3 linked regions of the Cricetulus griseus genome follow. The protein of the gene in region 1 interacts with the protein of each later gene in a biochemical or structural test. Links are inferred from orthologs where the notes say so. Each region holds a gene or a part of one and is shown on either strand. Other genes may lie near its edges.

What was found.
Region 2: the proteins of Noxo1 (region 1) and cytochrome b-245 light chain form a complex in vitro, tested with the Homo sapiens proteins (3 studies listed by IntAct). The link is inferred for Cricetulus griseus from reciprocal best matches to the Homo sapiens genes NOXO1 and CYBA.
Region 3: the proteins of Noxo1 (region 1) and Noxa1 form a complex in vitro, tested with the Homo sapiens proteins (2 studies listed by IntAct). The link is inferred for Cricetulus griseus from reciprocal best matches to the Homo sapiens genes NOXO1 and NOXA1.

What each region holds. Positions count from the first base shown.
Region 1 is NC_048600.1:44,285,670-44,290,208, reverse strand, and holds the start of Noxo1 (NADPH oxidase organizer 1), read right to left. Parts: upstream 2,846-4,539; 5' UTR 2,772-2,845; coding exon 2,677-2,771; intron 504-2,676; coding exon 404-503; intron 311-403; coding exon 230-310; intron 96-229; coding exon 1-95. Other genes in the region: Gfer (FAD-linked sulfhydryl oxidase ALR), read left to right, coding at 3,026-3,262, 3,594-3,790. UniProt on the Homo sapiens protein: Constitutively potentiates the superoxide-generating activity of NOX1 and NOX3 and is required for the biogenesis of otoconia/otolith, which are crystalline structures of the inner ear involved in the perception of gravity.
Region 2 is NC_048596.1:199,072,236-199,075,601, forward strand, and holds the end of cytochrome b-245 light chain, read right to left. Parts: coding exon 3,312-3,366; intron 2,795-3,311; coding exon 2,713-2,794; intron 997-2,712; coding exon 787-996; 3' UTR 693-786; downstream 1-692. UniProt on the Homo sapiens protein: Subunit of NADPH oxidase complexes that is required for the NADPH oxidase activity that generates, in various cell types, superoxide from molecular oxygen utilizing NADPH as an electron donor.
Region 3 is NC_048599.1:136,439,987-136,443,867, forward strand, and holds part of Noxa1 (NADPH oxidase activator 1), read right to left. Parts: intron 3,763-3,881; coding exon 3,680-3,762; intron 2,972-3,679; coding exon 2,863-2,971; intron 1,691-2,862; coding exon 1,556-1,690; intron 1,179-1,555; coding exon 1,071-1,178; intron 119-1,070; coding exon 65-118; intron 1-64.

The DNA.
Region 1 (4,539 bases):
TTGGGAAGAACTCTTTCAGATCTCCGGAGCAGGCCCGCCTCCACTGGGAAGGTTTTCTTAAGGATCTTCTGAGGGGAAGAAATGGGTGTCAGTCCCTGAAAGTGGAGAGAACCCCCAAAGGGAGGAAAGAGTCCCTGAGAGAGCTACAGGCAGGAAGGGAGGTCATGTAGCTATTGGCCTCTGGATTGGAGGATGAGCCACCCTGTTGAAATAGTCCCATGTTATTTACCTGGAGCTTCCTAAACTCATCCCAGCTCCGGCGAACAGACGAGTCACTGTTGTCTGACCAGTGCACAGAGAAGGCAAATGTCTATGAGGGAAGATTGAGTTTCCGTCTCTCTTAAGATTTTGTCAGCTACCCTTCTGCCTCTTTGTAGCGGAGGATGGGGCTGTATGGTCCTACCTGAAGTCGCTCCATCTGCACCAGGGCTACAGCATGCGCTGATACTGGGTGTCTAGGACCCGCCATGGTTGTGGCCTCCTGCAGGGTGCTTGTAGGGGCTCTGAGCAGCCGGAAAAAGTGAAGTGGAATTTCCCAACACTGCCCTAAACTGTCCCTGCAGAGCATACACACCTGGAAACCTTTCAGTTTCCTGGTTATTCTTCAAGCACAAAATCTAAGAGAATTCATCACAGCAGGACTGTGCTAGGGGGAGGGGTAAGCCAGGGCAGGTAGGAGGAAAAAATGAAGCCCTTTGTACTGAAACAGAACTCTAAGGGGCTGGAACTGCCACCTGGGGCTCCTTTTCTCCCTCAGCCAAGGGAACAATGGAGGTAGGCAGCTCCTCCTAAAGTACCGCCTCAACCTCACCTGCCCCCTCTGCCTCTTCCCCCACCCTGCTGTAACTCCCAGGGTGTGTCTAACAGCTTGATTTTTGAATTTGCCTGTGGGGCTATACATTGCTATCATCTGAATCAAGTATTTCACACCTGGGTCCTTTTAAGTTAGGTTTTTTTTTTTGGGGGGGGGGCAGAGGGTTGAGACAGGGTTTTGCTAGCTAACTTGCAAAGGCTGGCTTTAAACTTGGGATATTCCTGCCTCAGGCTCCTGAGCAGCTAAGGTTGAGACCCATGTAACTAGGCCATGAAACCTACCTCCTTCCTTGGCCAAACCTTGACATCTCCTTAAGCAACTGGTTCTTACATACAGGCTATTTCAGAGACAATGGAAGATGAGAGCAGTAGTAAAGGGTTGAGTACCTACCACTAGGGACCTAGAGGAATTGTGAGCCCCTCTCATCACCCACCTGCTTACTCTCACTGAGATGTACACAGAGGAGCCCCAACTCTGTCTAGTAAGAAGTTCCTCCCTGTCTCTTAATCCACCCAGCTGGAGAGATGAGTCAGATAAGAGCACTGGGCTGTTCCTCCAGAGGACCCAGGTTCAATTCCCAGCACCCACATGGCAACACACAACTGTCAGTAACTCCAGTTCCAGGGGATCTGACATCACACAGACATACATGCAGGTAAAACACCAGTGCACATAAGAATAAATAAAAAGCTGGGCAGTGGTGATCACACTTTTGTTTTTTGAGACAGGGTCTCTGGGTAGCTCTGACTGTCCTGGAACTCACACTGTAGACCAGGCTGGTCTTGAACTCACGGAGATCTGCTTCTGCACACCTTTAATCCCAGCCCTCGGGAGGGAAGCAGAGGCAGGAGAATCTATTGAGTTTGAGATCAGCCTGGCCTATAGAGCGAATTCCAGAACAGCCAAGGCTACACAGAGAAACTCTGTCAAAAATATCACTCTAACAAAAATAGAAGAAATCTTGCAAAGTAGAAATGGGATCAGGCCAAGACAGTTTTGTCCCAAATTGCCCAACGTCTCCCACTGCTTTTAGAACAAATCCCAATTTCTAGCATGGTTGGTGGGCCATTGCCCAGCTCTGGATCCTGGCCTCCTACCTTCCCAGAGTCCTGCCCCCAGTGGCCTTTGGTGCTTCTGCAAAATGCGATAGCCTGAGCTGATTTCTCATTTTATGGGGCCTGTGCTTAAGGGTCTCCAATTTAGGAGCGCTATATTCCCACACCCTATACCCAGCTTTCATCAGTTTGTAAATAAAATTTATTTCTGTGACTGGGTTTTCCCCATCTTCACTACTGGTCAAAGGCTAAAGAGGCTAGGGAAGGAAGCTTGTTCCTTGTTCTGTTCAGTGCCGGAAACAGCGCTTGGAGCAGAGTACCACTGTACAAATATTTGCAGAATGAATAAATGAACACATGGAAGAGGGAAAAGAATTCTTCCTGTGATGGCCCAGGCTTCTAAGTCACGTACTAGAAGAGGTGGCAGCTACGTAACAGAATTCCAAGTTAGTCCAAGTTACATGACTTTGTCTCAAAAAAAAAAAAAAGGAATTCTTGAGGCTGAAATAGGCATAATAACCTCCCCCCGCCAATGTTATAGGACGCGTCCCAGGCCTCTCCCAAAGTTGCGGGGCCCAGTAACTAGGGCAAAAGTCGACCCAGGCCATTGGCGCTGCCTGCTCTGTGAGGCCACGCCCCGCCGCGCGTTGCCAAGCACCCAGAAGCGTGTAGGTGGGCGCGTTGTACGCCAGAAAGGCCCCAACCTTGGCCGCTAGCGGGTAAAGGTCTGAACCGAGCGATGGGGGCGACGAGAGAAGCATCTCAGACCTCGTCTCAGCCCGACCTCCCAGCGGGGCCGCAGCGCACCTTCCACAACTCACTACACTGCGGGAGGAAACCCGAGCTCCCCCATGCACCACGCACGCCCGGCCCGCGGCGGACAACCAGAGCCCGAGCCGCATCCCCCTATGCCGCCTCGGCCCGTGCCTCCCGCTCCGGCTCCTCCGGCGCCGGGGCCTCCGACTCCGCCGAGACCCGGGCCGCCGCCTCGACCCCCAGCCCCGCCCCGCCGCCAGGCTCCGCCTCCTTCCCCAGCGTGAGCTCGGCCCCCGGCCGCCTTTCCCGCTCCAGCCGCCGCGCGCTGGCAGTGGCGTGCGCGCTCGCCCTGCCGGCCTTCTGGAGGCCCTCTTGGCCCCGCCGTCTGTACGCCGGCAAGATGGCGGCGCCCAGCGAGCCCGAGGGCGCCTCTCGCAGCAGTCTCTTTTCCTTCCTGCCCGGCGGCGCGCGCTCTGAGATGACAGACGACTTGGTGACTGACGCGCGGGGCCGCCGCACCGGGCATAGGGACGCCGCGGCCTCTGCCTCAGCCCCGGGGCCGCAAGGTTTGCAGCACGGGAAGCCGCCGTGCCGAGCCTGCGTGGACTTCAAGTCGTGGATGCGGACCCAGCAGAAGGTGCAGATACCCCGCCTGACCGCCCAGTCCCGGTCCCCCGCCCCACACCGGGTTTCCTCAGGGTTGGCTATGCCTAAACATGTCCACCCCCTCACCCACACACACCCCTAGGGTCGGACTTTGAGCCTTCAGCCACTGGCTGGCCGATCAGTTTACTAGGCTGCCAACTGTAAAGGGGAGCATTCTTGTTTCCTTTATTCTTTTGGTGATACTGGGAATCCGAACCCAAGGCCTCTGGCGTGCAACACAAGCAATCTGCCACTGGGTTGGAATTTTGTGGGCTTCTGGTTGGGGAAGAATGAACTGACCCGTAGTCGGCCTACTTCTGCAGCGGGACATCAAGTTTAGGGAGGACTGTCCGCAGGATCGGGAGGAATTGGGTCGCCACACCTGGGCTTTTCTCCACACGTTGGCCGCCTATTACCCGGACATGCCCACCCCAGAACAACAGCGAGATATGGCCCAGTTCATACATATATTTTCCAAGTTTTACCCCTGCAAGGAGTGTGCGGAAGACATAAGGAAGAGGTAAGTGTGCCTTACCTCTGCCAGTAAGGCCCTGAAAGGGGCCTGGCGGATGCCATAGAGAGGGGACTAGAAAAATAGATGCAGAGGTGACAGGTTGCTAGAAGAGGGACCACTCAAACGAATGTTGGGTCATGGGAGCCCTCTCCTTCCTCCTCAGAGCCTAGGTCTGTGAATTGTTAGCCTTAGAATTTTTAGGAAGATTAGCTAAGATTCCATGTTGCTTAACTTCTCTAATCTCTCGGTGTGGTTACCGATTTTAAAAATGGGAATGAAAGTCTGGCGTTAGTGGCCCATGCCTTTAATCCCAGCACTCTGGAGGCAGAGACAGGTGGATCTCTGTGAGTTCGAGGCCAGCCTGGTCTAGCCAACACTCACACACACACACACACACACACACACACACAAAAAAAAAAAAAAAAAAAAAAAACTTGGTTCACTCATTGGCTTAACTTAATCTGTTCTTTATAGGTATTTCTAGGTTGGACCTATTAGGCACTTGCACTTGCTATTTGAAGCCTGGGTAGTTAGGAATGAAGGGTATCTCTTGCTGAACTAGGCCTCTGGTGCCAAGAAACACTGTGCCAGGCCCCACCTGTCTATACTCTGCCTGGGGCTAGAGACCATGGGGTGAGGCTCCCTGATTGTTACAAGGTTGTAAAGTCGCCTGCTTTACTATAATCTTAATTCTGGGCTCTTGCCAAGTCAAGTGAGCGAGTGAGCAGCCCTGGGAGTTGCACAAGTCCAGGAAA
Region 2 (3,366 bases), on another chromosome or scaffold:
TTATTAAATGGACATAGTTCAACTCTTTATTTATTCCTGCAAGTCTTCTTTCTTTCCCTCCTAGCCCTGTCCACCCAGTGGGTGCTCAGAGGCTACTAAAGTCCCAGATTTCTTTCCTAAGGTGTGCGTGTTGAGAGAGTACTTCTGGGGTGCGGAGGGGCTTCAACAGGACATGCACAGCCATTAGGCCTGCGTCTTCATCTTCCTACAGGGGCAGCTCCTGCCCTAGGCAGAGAATAGGCTCCTCACGGTCACATTATGCTCTCCACTCTTCAATATTACTTTGGCCACTTGGGGACACCATCTCTGCCTGAAGTTAACCCCCAGGAACACTCCTCTGCATCAAGACAGGCAAGCAATCATTGCCACAACAAAACTTCCCAGCATGGCCCAGCCAGACCCAGGGCTGTGAGGCCAAACTGGAGATCTAGACTGCAGCCTAGGGCCAGGAGCCACCAGGATAGCAGCCTGTACTCCAGACCCATTGGGTGCCTTTGCAGGGGACTGGGAGCCAATGGCTTCCACTATTGGAAGACCTGGACTAGGCTCAGGGTCCCACTTGTAAGCATAAGTCCACCCAGGGTCCATTGGACAGTTGTCAGGCCTTCCCTGACTGGCCTTCAGGTCACCACACAGAATGGGGTGCATGTCACAGCCCCTCCCCCAGCCTCACAGGAAGAACCACTCTCCACACCAGCTATTCACTTTTTATTACAATGGGCATCACCACCCCCTGGTGGCGACTCAAGGAAAACTTAAGCAGGAGCTGCAGACAGCAACTGAAGGTCACACAACCTCATCTGTTACTGGAATTGGGTTGACCTGGGGGCCTCCAGCTGAGGCTGCCTCCTCTTCATCCACACTTGGCTTCTTGCGGGCCTCCACTGGTGGCCGGGGTGGGGGATTGGTAGGTGGCTGCTTGATGGTGCCTCCAACCTGTGGCCGCTCCTTGGGTTTGGGCTCAATGGGGGTCCACTGCTCACCCCGGATGGCTGCCTGAGGGGCAGAGAGGGACTGTGTTATGCTTCAAGCTGCTTACTGTCACGGGGGACTCCAGGTGGACATAGGTCTTAATCCCTAAGCAGGATGGCAATGGCTTACATTAATTGACTGGCCCAAGGCCACACAGTCAGGATCTGGGGCTGCCTGACATCAAACCCAAGCTATGTGGCTATGCCAGGAGGGCCCTGCAGTGGAGGGAGCATGGAGCCACCGGGCTTCTATAACACTCCCAGAAACACTTCCAGATACAGACTCTATAATCCCCTCCAAGAGACACCCACCTTCGACAAGGCCTCCCCAAGGATGTCAAGCATTCTGTAGGAAGCGTGTAGGGCTGGGTGCTAAAAATGCAAGCTGGGAACAGTGCTGCTAGCCTCCTGCCACATGCACTTCCACAGCAGCTGACTTAGGGTATCTGGGAATTGCAAGTAAATTTAGTATCCCACAGGGTGGTGGTGGCGGTGGTGGCAGCGCACACCTTTAATCCTAGTATTCTGGAGGTAAAGGCAGGAGGATCTCTCTGAGTCAGAGGCCAGCCTGGTCTACAGAGCAAGTTCCAGGTCAGCCAGGGCTATGCAAAGAAATACTGTCTCAAAAAGTAAAACAAGGGGCTGGAGAGATGGCTCAGTGGTTAAGAGCACTGCCTGCTCTTCCAAAGGTCCTGAGTTGAATTCCCAGCAACCACATAGTGGCTCACAACCATCTGTAATGAGATTTGGTGCCGAACATCGTACACTAAATAAATAAATATTTTAAAAAGTAAAACAAAAACAAAAGCCATAAATAAATTTAGTAGCCCACAATGCTTGAGAGATAGAAACTCTGCAGCACACTGACACCTTCAAACACCTGTGGCTATACCTTTAAACACCTGAGGCTACATCTTCTAACTAATAAGCTAGAACATTCTATACAGAAGATAAGAATGGAGCTGGCAGGAGAGAATCAGAAAGACATCCATAGTACCTCAGAAAGTGTGTGTGCTGGTGGTGGGGGAGACTTTTAATGAACACAAACTAAGCTAGATGAAGTAGCTTCTACCTGCCATTCAGCATTAAGATTAAGAGGTGGAAGCAATAGCCGGATGGTGGTGGCTCACGCCTTTAATTCCAGTGCTTAGGAGGCAGAGACAGAGGCAGAAGTAGTCAGATCTCTGTGAGTTTGAGGCCAGCCTGATGTACAAAGTGAGTTCCAGGACAGACTCTAAAGTTACACAGAAAAAACAAAACCAAAACCAAACAAAAAAAAAAAAAAAAAAAAAAAAAACAAAAAAAACAGAGGTGGAAGCAAAAGGACCAGGAGTTCAAGGTCATCTTCAACTACATAGCAAGTCTGAGGCCAGTCTGGATTACAGGAGACCCTCTCTTCTTCTCAAAATAAACAAATAGATAGGTATGTAGGTAGATGATAGACAGACAGATAAGACAGATGCTTCTGTGTCATGAGCTCCCCAAACTCAGGTAGGCTTTGATGAGCAATGGGCCCACACTGAGGTTGGACCTGGGCCAGCCTCACTGCCTCTCTGAGTCTGTCTCTTTAGCCACCTGCCTGACAGAGCTACAATGCAGCTTCAACTGGGAAGTGTCCAGTATATACCAGACGTGCACTAACCAAAGCTGAAGTGAGCAAGGAAGCTGTCATGAGGGCCCAGAGCACCAAGAACATGGGGGCGGGGGATGGGGGAGGCTTGTACAGAGGGCAGCCACTTACCAGAAGGTAGATCACACTGGCAATGACCAAGCAAACTGTTCCCAGGATAGTGGCCAGAAGGAAGCCTGCAGGCACTGACAGCCTTGAGGGTAACAGGAGGAAGCAAATGGACAACAGTTAGAAGGGCTCTTGAGCTCTAGGCCACAAGCTCTCAACGGGAGATTCTGTCCCCAGGACCCTAGAATGAGCAGCGGCCAGCTCTGCCTAGGTCCATTTTAGGTTTGGTATAAACTGTTCTCTACAGTAATGTGTCCTTTGATTCAAGCCCCAGCTACCTTGTTGGGGAAAAGGCTTGAGCTGGGGTGTGTCCCAGTCCAGGCTTAGCAAAGACCAAGAACAACAACAGGTGTAACAGACCCATGGAGACCCACCCAGCATTGCAACTGTAGCTTGACTGCTAGGTTCAGTGTGCACCTCAGAACAGATGGCAGATTCAGGTCTAGGACCTTCTGCCCTCTCTAAAAGCTGGGATTTTCTGTCTGGACAAACATCAATGAAGAAGAGGCTTGGCTAATCCCTAAACTCCTGTCCAGGCTACAGACCCACGGGGTGTCTCCTTCTAGTCTCCTGTTACCCAGGGCATTGTCAGCGGGACTCACAAGAAGTGGAGGACAGCCCGGACATAGTAATTTCTCGTCAGGGGCCCAAACAGCT
Region 3 (3,881 bases), on another chromosome or scaffold:
TTTCCTTATCCATGCAAAACCAGGCAAAGATAGGCCTGGGTCTGTTCCATCCCTACCCACCTACCTGCTGAGGCCAGCCATCTGTATTGTGGTTGTCAGGGATGACAGATGCCACCACCTAGTGAGGGCAGGAATACAGCTGGATTAGGGCCCCATTGAGTCTTCTCCTCCAGGTCCCCAATTCCCAGTACCTCCATGGCTGTAATCTGCAGGGTATGGGCTGCCTACAACTAGCTCAAGACTGCTAGACCACTACAGCTTAAAAAAATAAGGTATGACCAAGAGAAACATATACTACTAATATAACTCAATTTTAGTACAACTTTTTAAATATTTTTTGTATCTTTTAACAGTGGTCCAAGTGAACTCTGATGGGTTCTCAAGGACAGTGTTTTCTCCACCTATACTCAGTCCACCTCGGGGGACATTCAAAGGCAGTGTGCCCCTCAGGCAGCTACATGTGGTCACATAGTGTTGATAGGTCCAGCGTGAGTGCTGTGGCAAATGACCATAGGTGTGCGGCCAGCCCAGGGACCAATAATACAATATCAAGTTGGCCCGTATTTGTGACACTGCAAGTGACTGTTTTCTTGAGTTCCTCTCTTCTATTTGGAGGTGAGAGACTCCACCATAGCCTGTGGTTTAGAGGGCCTGATATGGCCTAGACTGGCCATACACATCCCTTCTGGGACCCTGCTGTCTGTAGCAGAGATGCAGAAACAGAAATACACGAAGATGCACAGATACTGGGAGCAACTGAAGAGTGGAGTCAGAGGGGCACCGCTGGGGATTTCCATCCAGAAGCTGGGGTGCCCTCCTTTAAAGCTGACTTTTGGTAAGTTCTGCCTCGGGGCGTACAGCCTCGTGTAAGAACACCCACTCCCAGCCCTAGGAGCCTTGTGCCCACTCTCTACCTGTCTGACTTTCAAGTGGCCTAGACTACACCCAACTGTCCTCATAAACACACTGGATGTCCACTGCAGGAGCCACCACTCCATGTGCTTGACATAGGCTATAACTGCCATTTTGGCAGCTGGGTACCCAAGCTAGAAAACACCCGAGTGCTTTACCTTAGCCTTGCCGAGGAAATCCATGGGCTTCAGGTGCTGTAGGTATTGCCTGGGAGGCTGGAAGACTTCACCCTTGGGGACTTGCCTTAGCTGCAGGGGTACCTGTTTCTGGAGTGGAGTGTGTAAACCTGGGTGGCCACAGCTGCAACAACCCCAAGTCTTGAAGCAGAGGGGCTGCTTGGGCTCCCATCATATGTGACATGCTACAGGAAGTATGGGGCACCAGACTACTTCTCTCCCTATACTATAGTTAGTCTTTTGTTTTGTTTTTTGAGACAGGATTTCTCTGTGTAGCTTTGGAGCCTATCCTGGCACTGGCTCTGTAGACCAGGCTGGCCTCGAATTCACAGAGATCCATCTGCCTCTGCCTCCCAAGTGCTGGGATTACAGGCATGTGCCACCAACGCCCGGCTATAGTTAGTCTTGAGGGCATAAGCTATAGAACTTGGCTCCAAACCAGTGTGATTGCCACCTGCCCTCCTCACCTGCACTTGGTCCAGGGCAGTGTCCAGGATACCTTGGGCCCCCTCTGGCCATTTGGAAGTTGCCTCCACTAGAGTATCAGCAGCCTTGGCCCAGAGCCCTGCCTGGCACTCTGCTGATGCCATGTTGTATAGGACCTAGGAACAAGGGCAGACATGACAGCAGGGGCCAGGCCCGCAAGATGGTCCTCAGCTGAACTCCCCAGTCACAGTAGCTGGAGGTTCTTCTGTATGTTCAGCTGCCATAGGAGCTATAGGTAGGGACCAGGCCACCTGCTGCCTAGCTGGCTCAGTTGTCAGATGCCAAATGGTCATTCCCTGTTATCTCGTTTACCGCTGGCAGTGCCATGTTTTGCTTTGGGCTTTTCTACTTGAAACAGCAGAAGTAGCTCTCCCTTTCAAAGTGTCCCCTTGTGCTGCTGCAGGGGCATGGGGGGGGGTTGGAGAGATGGCTCAGTGGTTAGAGCATTCATTGCTTTTTTTTTTTTTTCCCAGAGGACTTAGGTTAGATTCCCAACTCTCACATGGTGGCTCACAACGTATTCCCTTGGCTAATGCCCTCCTAATTCTATACTCTGCCATCCCCATTAACTGAGTCTAGAGTATGTCTAAGGGTTCCCATTGGCTGTCCAGGGACATTCAGAACCCCACATTCAGAGCATTCTCATGGGCAAAGTGGACTGAGTTAAGGCTACCCTACAGCCCCAGTGACAGGCAATGATGCTGGGAGCCCATCGTTCCTTCATCCTGGGGAGGTACATACACAAGAAACCCAGCTTTGCTACAAGGAGAGAAACACACCCACTCTCTCTATGGCCCCCCTGTTCCTACTGTTTCCTCTGGCTCAGCTGCAGGTACTGCTGAGCTAATCCCCCTTCCCCCAAACTTGTCTGTCACCTTGTCATGATCTTCAATTCTGTCCTGCTTTTCTCCCACATGAGCCCATGCTGGCTGGCTCCAAAGTATGGAAGTAGTCTGCTCCCACAACTGCCACTCCAGCCTCCAATCAAAGAGCTGGGGGATTTCAGGGCTCCAAAAGTCTTTAGCTAGACAGGACACCTCATTTCACATGGCTGGCCATGTGAAATGGCCAGTAACACCAACATAAAGGTGACAGCACTTGGCAACACTCTAGACTTTATCTTAGGACTCCAGCCAGGACCCCAGACTACATGATAGGACCTCTATTGCAACCCAGTGCCATGGCAGAACCTTAGAACTTCCATGAACCCTAGATCCCCCAACAGAACCCCAAGCCTCAGTGACACTGCTTGGTGTCTGAACTCTGCCCACATGAAATGCCCACTCACCTCCCAGGCTTGCAATTTGAAGTGCAGACCCAGTTGTGTGTAGTCAATGGCAGCATTGCCCCTCAGCTGTGCCAGGGTCAGCTGGAAATCAGACACAGCTTCCTGGAACCTGTGAGCATCAGGGGCCTCTCAATAGCCACAAGGGAGGAGCTGAGCCTGTGAAGGATGACTTTGGGGTACCCCACCCATCCTCCCGTCGGTGCCAGCGTTGGGAGGTCTGAAGGCAATAGTGGTCACCTAGAAATCAGAACTCCATGGGACGAGTTCAGACCACCATGCTCAACGGGAGTTTACTGTCCAATTCCACTTAGCCTCCCAGGCATTGCTCTCTTTACCTGACGGGGACCACTGCTTACACTTCCAAACCTCTTCCCACCATCCTGGGCTCTCCTTTCTTGCCTCTCAAGCCCAACCTTATGGGACCTCCTCTGATCTCTGAGCTTCCAACTCTGGATGGAATCTCTGTCCCCCTCTAGATTCTCCACGTCCTCAGTCAGTTCTCCTAGGCTAATTGGAGCCTGCAGCCTTGACTATCCTTCCTCCCCTACTCCCCTTAGAAAGCTGGGAGGCCATCCACATCCTTGGATAAGCCCTTGTTTTCACATCTGCAAATTGGCTGTAGACACAGTGTTCTCACTACTAGAGCCATGAATCTTGACAGAGACAGGACTGTGGGGGGCAGGGGCCAGCCTAACCAGAGCATCCTCATCCAGGCTGGAGGGGATCCAGAGGAGAGAGGGAAGGAAGTGGGTGCAAGCATTGCTTTGCAGAGACAAAGAACCATCCAATAAGGGACAGGGGATCCTGCTATGCTCACCTCTCCAGCTGGAAATTAGCCACTCCCCGCTGGAAGAAGCCAACAGCCATGCAGGTATCCTTGGTCACTGCTTGGTCAAATGCCTAGGGACAAAAATGCTTGTGGAACAGCAAACTCAGTAACCCAAGAACCCAATGCCACAATGGAAATGGAAATCTGTCAACTGATGAGAGCTACTGGCAGCAGGTGCCTGCCAAGCTAG